2 linked regions of the Struthio camelus genome follow. The protein of the gene in region 1 interacts with the protein of each later gene in a biochemical or structural test. Links are inferred from orthologs where the notes say so. Each region holds a gene or a part of one and is shown in the gene's direction. Other genes may lie near its edges. The genes, in order: CSRP3 and MYOG.

Region 1 (3,918 bases):
CATGAACCACCCAGGAAGAATGAATGAGAAGAAATGGGGTCCAAGACTCTTCTGCTCAATAAAAATTAGGCCTCTAACCTTACATTAGAAACCTTTGCTGGACTCCATAGTCAAGAGATGTTAGACTCTTAAGACTTAATTTTCAAATTAGCCTCAGTGAATGGGCCCCTAAAATCCTGAAATTTCACATACATTTGGCATCTAATTTCCTTACACTCCCATGAAAGTCCCAGAGTTGAGACCTTCACTATCAGTCTTCAGTTTGTAACCCCTAAGTTCTAGGTGATTGGCCCTTTCACTCCTCCCAAAATCCATGAAGAATGAAGTTTCTAAATTCAGAAGTCCCTCCAAAGATGAGAATTACCCTCAATCTTTAAAGCACTTAAAAATAAACAAACAATAATCTCTGTAAAGAAATGAACTTTAAGCGCTTTACACTTTAGCCCATCTCTAAAATGGTTGCAATATCACGCATTTGCAAGGGGCTCAGCAAGGTTTCGTAATTGCTTATAGATGCTATGATTAAACGTGCCAAACTCTACACGTATTAGCTACCTGTCTTAATGCTTAAAAAAAGTACAAAATTAAAAATTAGAGTGACAAGCATAAGTCGCCATAGTCTAAGACTTCTAGCAGATATCAACCATTTGTAGCTATCAAGTTATGAACTACTTAACTAAATAAAATTCTATTTGGTTTAAGACTGTTGAGTCCCAGAGGTTCTTACAATGAGTTATTGATTATTTTTATAATTATTTTGTTAGATTATTTTTGGCAATGATGTCATCATATATTACTAAATCCTCATTTCAGGAACCATTATTTTATGATTCATGCTTAAGCAATTTAATCGCAATTCTAAAATTTCACTCTTTATTTGATCTGTTGGAGGGCTTTTAAGAATGCCTTTAGGTGTAATCGGAGGGGCTGCATTGTTGTCCACCTACTCACGAGTGGACGTAAGGGAACAAAATGCCAGGCTTCTGTCAGATGTTATTTTCAGCTCAGTGATAGCAATGGCATTGCTCAGATCCCTGAAGCAACCTCTCCCAGCTCCCTCCCCTCCCAGCTCATAGGGCCAGCAGTGGTGGCCGCTGCATTTAAAGAGTGCAGGAAGGCTTCAAGTTAAACTCTGTCAGAGGCCAAAGAAAATAGGAAGAAACATCAGCCTGCTCTGGTAAGTGTAGTACATGGGGTTCTGCAAGACTGTTTGATATACGGATTTGGGTTTTTTTATTTTTTCCCCCCCAAAGCTAGTAGAAACAGCTTATTGCTTGACTAAGAAAAATGTGCAGGTATAGCACAGAAATGGGAGTCCTATAGAGCTGACAGCAGTATTTTAGGTTTGCAGTAGCTAACTGAAAAGAAAGATTCTTCTGGGCTTCTAGGCCTTTACGGTAGCTATTAGTGTTACAAGAACGGGGCTGTGGAGGGTCTCATCTCTGAGACAGGCATTTTTACCACATGCAAGACTGGATAGCATAGAAATTGTGGAAGTGTTTAGAAATTTTGTTACAAAGCTGAAGAATGACTTCTTCCACAGATACTCTATCTTAATATACGAGCTTGCTAAAGTATACAAAGTTATATGCTTTCAGAAGTTCTCAGTAAGAGAGTCAAAGCATTCTGAAACAAAAAAGTCACTAAATATTTAATGTCTAATTGGTTTTATATTAAACCAGAAGGACATTTCTACATAACCTCCACCTCCAACAGAAAAATCACAAATAAAAATGCAAGATGACAGAATTCACATGCTCATCACTCAAGCGTTAAAAGGTAGCATGACTGGCCAAGTCTTTAGGAAAAAAAATAGCTAAAAAAAAATAATTATCTGCTTCAAAAAGTTTTCTGTCTAAAGATAAAACTGTTTCAAAGAATGCAAAGAATGAAGCCTTGCACGTACTTAAAAGAATTCTGAGTCTGATCTCAATCATCCCGGCAATATTTCAAAGTCCATAAGAGTTTTGTTTGGGACTAGAGGACTTAAGACAAGGATAAGGGTGTAAAGAAAGATATTGTGGAAGGAAAAGCTGAAGTTGATAGCACAGGATAAGGTCTGAGGAAAGAAACAGATCATTTGGACAGCAGGATGTAGTTTCCCACAGCCTTGTGAAGAAAACTGAACTTTGTGTTTGAGGGAAGGGTGCTTTTTTAAAGTCAGAACTAAGTATCTGGTTCTAGTGTCAGCGTATCACATCTTTTGGAAACGTCATCTTAAATTTCTGCAAAGGTGTTCACCAAAGAAGTTTTAATAGAAATGCGTCATTACCATGCCAGAAAATAAGACAGTAGTGGGAAGGATACATAGTGACAAAAGCAAAAGATTCAGAGGCAGCACTGAGTTCTCCTGTCAGCTTTGCCCCTCACTTGCTTCTTATCAAGACACTTAAAATCTTCTGTTTCGAAAGGACTAGTGTAACTTAACATAACCAGTGTCAGTCAAAATCAGTATTTATTTTTCTGTGTCATTGTGGAAAATCCTGTCTCTTGACCCCTATGTGCTGGTTTACTGCAGAAATATAGAAAAAAATTGCTATGCGGCATGAGGATAAAAGTAATACACTGACTAATTCATAAACCCAAACTTGTATTTGTATCCATAGCCCACTAAATGTATATGACCATAAGAAATATCACTATAAATACATAACCATGTTGTATAAATGAGCTCACTCTTCAAATGCAATCATTTTCTCTATTGTATAACTATTCTGCTGAGAAATGATGCTTTCTGCAATGGATTAGATTTCGACCAAAACACCTTCAGGCTTTTTGAGATGCAGTGACAGGAACTATGCTTTGCACTGCAGAAACATCAAAATTAAACGTGACATAGTGAGAAAGAGAAAGAAACCATAGCAGTATTTAATTGATACTTTAAAACAGAATTGGAGTGTGTTAAAATTATTTTTAAGTCAAACACAGCTTTTGCCAATGAGGAATACCACACTTTACACTAAAACTGACAGGAAAAAAACATTAAATAACCTAGAAACATCTGGAAGTATTAATCTTCTTCAAAAGACACTATAGGCAAATATTCTAGGGCATCAAAAATAACAGCAAGGGCAATTGAATCTCAAGACACTTGCCTGGCACCACCAAATATAAGGCAAGACCTATGGGAGATCCAGGCTCTCTGGAGTGACAGCTGAGGATAAGGCAGGATACCTGACAATGTTGAATATGGTGCAAGATACCTATGTTTACACAGCCAGATACCACTCTATTTCTTCCATTAAAGCTATTGAAAGTTCTCTGTAAAGGAAGCTATGTAGTGTTATCCCTGGGGTGCTGGTGAAGGAGTAAGACTAAGGAAGGTTGAACGAGTCAGAGAGTCACATGACAGGTCAGCAGTAGAGCTGTGATTAGATATCAGGAATAAAATCCTGACTGCATTGACATCTCCCACAGACTTCAACTGGGGCCACAATTTCTAATTTCTAGTCTCAAAACTCCCATTTCAATAGTGACAGTCATTTAATTTGATACTATTGCTTATTACAAAAGGAAACAATCTTCTCATGCTTTTAACAGACTATAGACTGAACAGTCAGCTAGGACTAAAAATAGAGATGCAAAGCACATCTTATCCAAGTCCTTCTGGTTCAGCATTTCTACCATCACAGGATTCAGTGACCATAAAGACCTACATTTCCCATTCTGCTTATCCACTTGAAAGTCATCGTATACTACATTTGGTGCTCTGAGATACCCTTTCCAGCCAAACAATAAGTGATTTCTGCATTTTCTATACATACGACTTGAGTTCTAGACCATCAAACACATAAGCATTTAGAATGAAAAAACTAGTGTTTAGGAAAAAAAACACCAGCATTTTTTTAACAACTTTTTCACCAGCATTGCACTACCTAGCACTATGTTTATCTCTTTTAAAACCACTCTATGAAACCA
Region 2 (3,918 bases), on another chromosome or scaffold:
GATGGTGGAGGAAGGACAGTGTCAGGATGGGAGGCGACCAGGACCAGGCCTGGTTCATCTTCCAAGCTTGGCCAGATAGAGGGTCCTGGGACAAGCAGGAGATGGTGTTCTTTGGTTTTGGTGCCCTCTAAGAGCCCTGGAAGAAAAGGAATTTCATGCCTAAAACGCTGCTCTATGTCTGGGCTATGACTCAGCCAGGGACCTTTGGGAAGACTATGGCAGAGGAAGGATTTGCCCCAAACTCACCACTGAGCCCTCCCGGCTGCTCTCACCTGCCTGCAGTGCCTCTTCCTCCCAGGGACAGAGGGAAAAGCCCAGCCTTGTCGAAGCCTGGGGCAGGAGGGCGGCACGGAGTGGAGCGACACTTTGGGGTGCAGTGAGGCGGATGGGCACGGGGATGGGTGCTGCCTTGCTCGCAGTGCTCGTGGCTGGGCTGCTCGGGGAAGGGGCTGGGACCCCGGAAGCAGGGATCCAGCAGGATCCCATGAGGCTGAGGCTGATGTGGGGCCATCTGCCCCAGGGTGGACTGGAGCCACCCGGGTGCTGCTCTCCCCTAGCCGAGCTGTGCCAGCCCTGGGTAACTGAAAGGACCAGATGATGCAGGAATGCGGGACGGAGCTGGCAGCCCCACGACCACCCGCCATCCACGGCGGCACCCAAAGGGCTCAAACGAAGCCCTTGTTCACAGGGCGGCCGAGTTGCTTTTCCCGACGTGCCAGCTTCCCCGGGCTCCCCCTCCTCCCCGGCACGGCCGCAGCCTGGCCCGGGCAGCGTAATCCCTGCAGGGAGAGCACATGAAATCAGATGGACAAGTTTTGATGTGAGGCAGCAGCTTAGGGCAGGCTCAGGTTTCCTTTAGGTTTTCTATATTTATCTCCGTGATTTAATGCCAGCGCCGGGGTTTAAATGGCACCAACCAGTTGGTGTGAGGAGACGGAGCAGCCATCCCCAAGCCGTGCACACGTCTCCCCGCTGCCTGCCCGTCCATGGAGCTCTTCGAGACCAACCCCTACTTTTTCCCAGACCAAAGGTTTTACGACGGGGAAAACTTCCTGGGCTCCCGCTTGCAGGGCTATGAGCCAGCGGCTTTCCCGGAGCGGGCCGACGTGGCCCTGTGTGCTGAGGGCAGGGTGGGCATGGAGGAGAAGGACTCAGCCCTGCCTGAGCACTGCCCGGGGCAATGCCTGCCCTGGGCCTGCAAGATCTGCAAGCGGAAGACGGTCTCCATAGATCGGCGCCGGGCGGCCACCCTGCGGGAGAAGCGCAGGTTAAAAAAGGTGAACGAGGCCTTTGAGGCCCTGAAACGGAGCACTTTGCTCAACCCCAACCAGCGGCTGCCCAAGGTGGAGATCCTGCGCAGCGCCATCCAGTACATCGAGCGTCTCCAGACCCTGCTCAGCACCCTCAACCAGCAGGAGCGGGAGCAGAGGGACCTGCGCTTCCGCGGCACGGCCACCCAGCCAGGGGTAAGTACCTCTGCTCACCCTGGGGTGCGTGACCCTGGGGTCCCCAGCCTTGGGCTAAGGCCACCACCGGCCTGGGTAGTGGTCCCAGAAAGAGGCACCGCAGCCGGTGCCAGAGCATGGGGACAGGGACCCAGAGGCAGCAGACCCAGCCCTGCCTCTGGTGGGAGCGGGACCTGGACCCTCCAGCCCTCGGGACAGCAGAGCTGAGGTAGACAATGTGACCACAAGCTGGCAGATATGCCCTGCACGAGGCAGCAATGATCCAGCCCAAGCCATGCTCTTGTATCCCCAGTCAAAGCAGATCTATAGCTCTCTTTCCCTATAAACACACATACATATTTATATATGTATGTAGAGTAGGCTGCGTGTCCAGTGCTGGATACTGTACAGAGCGTGGCACATGTGCCCTCACTCACTAGAGCTAATAAAGGTATAAATAAAATAAAATAAAATAAAATACCCTCAATGGCCATTGTGGCGTGTCCCGAGCAGGGGGCAGGGTGAAAGGGTGGGGGGGCTGGAGCGGAGCCACCTGCCGAACACATTTCTTGGACCGAAAATGCCAGTTTGAGAGCCGGATGGGGATGCTTGCAGAGGCCGTGTCTTGCCCTCGGGGCTGTTGGCCCCAAGCAGACACATACTGTAAGCCAGGGCCCTTAAAATCACGAGATTTTGGTGGTTTAACCAGATTTGGGGGAGGGGGGGCATTTTTAATCTACCCTCTGATTCCTGGGGGGGGGAATATGTGGGCATGCTTTTCCCTAATGCCCTAAGGGTGACAAATGGACTTTATAAGAGGCATGGAAAATTGGGATTCCCAGAGATTCATCTGATCCAGTACCAAGGGATTTAAGGGAAAAATAATCGGATATCAGGGTAGCCCAGTACAGTACATTTAGGGGCTGCGTAAAGGCCTGAAAACAGTCTTAGGCATCACTATAAAAAATTCTTAGGACTTCCCAGTATACACCCAAGCTATATATATTCATGTTGATTTGATTCGCTTGGATTTTTCTGCTGTCCCTGCAAACGTATTGATGCAAAGTGCTTGCCTAAAATACGACCCATGCTGAGCAGTTCCTGCGTAACTGCTCCTCCTTGCGGTCTCCTTCTCCAGCTGTGACCTAGGGAGAAACAGATAATTCACGTAATGAGTGTGAAATCCAATATTTTTGGCCAAAACAAAAAAATCATATCTGCATGAATCTCCTATTTTAGTGAGAAACAAACCGAAGTGAAAATCATTTTCTCATCCTGCTGCAGATGGACTTTATTTCACTTTGTTTCCCTACAAAACGGAAAGCCCAACCAGCCACCTAGCCTAATGTTCACGTGCGGTGTGAAATTTCAATTCAGTGCAAAAGCCTTGCAGAGACAAGCTGCGGTCGTTTTTCTCTCTCCACGTCGGCAGTCAAGATACGCTAGCGACCCAAAATTTGGAGGTTTGCCAGCTAGCTCCCCAGCAGTGGGTTACTGTGGACTAGCTCTATCTAGGTGCGATATCTACCTCCATTTTCCTCCCAGAGTTGATGCGGCAGTGATTTTGTATCCCTGCTACAAATGGCAGTGCTTTGGGGTTGCTGCAATGCAAAATTGCATTTCAGGCTCAACGCAGGCCAATAAACATCCACTCTGAGACTGAGAGATGGAGACAAAAAAAGTTAATCCAGCACTTTACTGAGTAACTGTCTCATTTTTTAGGTTGTCACTTCCCAGTGAAACATCCATTTGACCCAAAACCCACAAATCAAAATACCAAAATCAAAATATCTGCTCCCCAGAAATCCCCCTTGTGATCGTCAGAGGAGTTCCAGCCCGTATGACAGCTCTGTTAACCTGATTAGGTGATTTTTTTCAGTAAAAGGCTGTTTTGCCCAAGGACAGGCGTCCATCTCCATCCCTTTCTCCTGGTCATTGCATGAAAAGACACTTTTTCACCTGTAGTGAGCCAACGGCAGCATTTTTCACTCGTTAACCACAGTTCCCAGAACTCCCCAAAAAGTTTCTCAGCCTTTTTGGTTGTTAACCAAGCAAAAAGATGTCCCTTTTCTCCCTTTCTAAGAGCAAACCGCTGCCAGCAGCCTTGAGCCCAAGGTTAATCCCTGCAGGTTGTGCTGGACCGTGGTGCTGGGGGTGCTCGGAGGAAGCAGGCAGGGGCATGGGCTCACCATGCGGGGACCACGCTCGTGCAGGGACAGCCTGTCCCGGCTCCCCCCAGTGCCAGTGGCAGGCTGCAATCGGTTTCAGGGATCCCGAATGCTTTGTCCACTCCTGCCAGCGGCTTTGCGGGGAGGGTGGTGAGAGATGAGTCCATCTCCTCATGGATCTGTGCCAAGTCTAAGAGCAATGGGTGGGCCCCGGGGTGGGGGTAGAGGCAGCGATGCCCGCAGTGAGTATCTTGGACCCTTGCAGGAGGCTGGTGAGTGCGGGTCTGGCAGCTCCTCCTGCAGCC

What was found.
Region 2: the proteins of CSRP3 (region 1) and MYOG form a complex in vitro, tested with the Homo sapiens proteins (2 studies listed by BioGRID and IntAct, with this or other methods). The link is inferred for Struthio camelus from reciprocal best matches to the Homo sapiens genes CSRP3 and MYOG.

The regions. Positions count from the first base shown.
Region 1 is NC_090946.1:32,068,800-32,072,717, forward strand, and holds the start of CSRP3 (cysteine and glycine-rich protein 3), read left to right. Parts: upstream 1-1,006; 5' UTR 1,007-1,177; intron 1,178-3,918. UniProt on the Homo sapiens protein: Positive regulator of myogenesis. Acts as a cofactor for myogenic bHLH transcription factors such as MYOD1, and probably MYOG and MYF6.
Region 2 is NC_090965.1:3,753,833-3,757,750, reverse strand, and holds the start of MYOG (myogenin), read left to right. Parts: upstream 1-935; 5' UTR 936-986; coding exon 987-1,466; intron 1,467-3,878; coding exon 3,879-3,918. UniProt on the Homo sapiens protein: Acts as a transcriptional activator that promotes transcription of muscle-specific target genes and plays a role in muscle differentiation, cell cycle exit and muscle atrophy.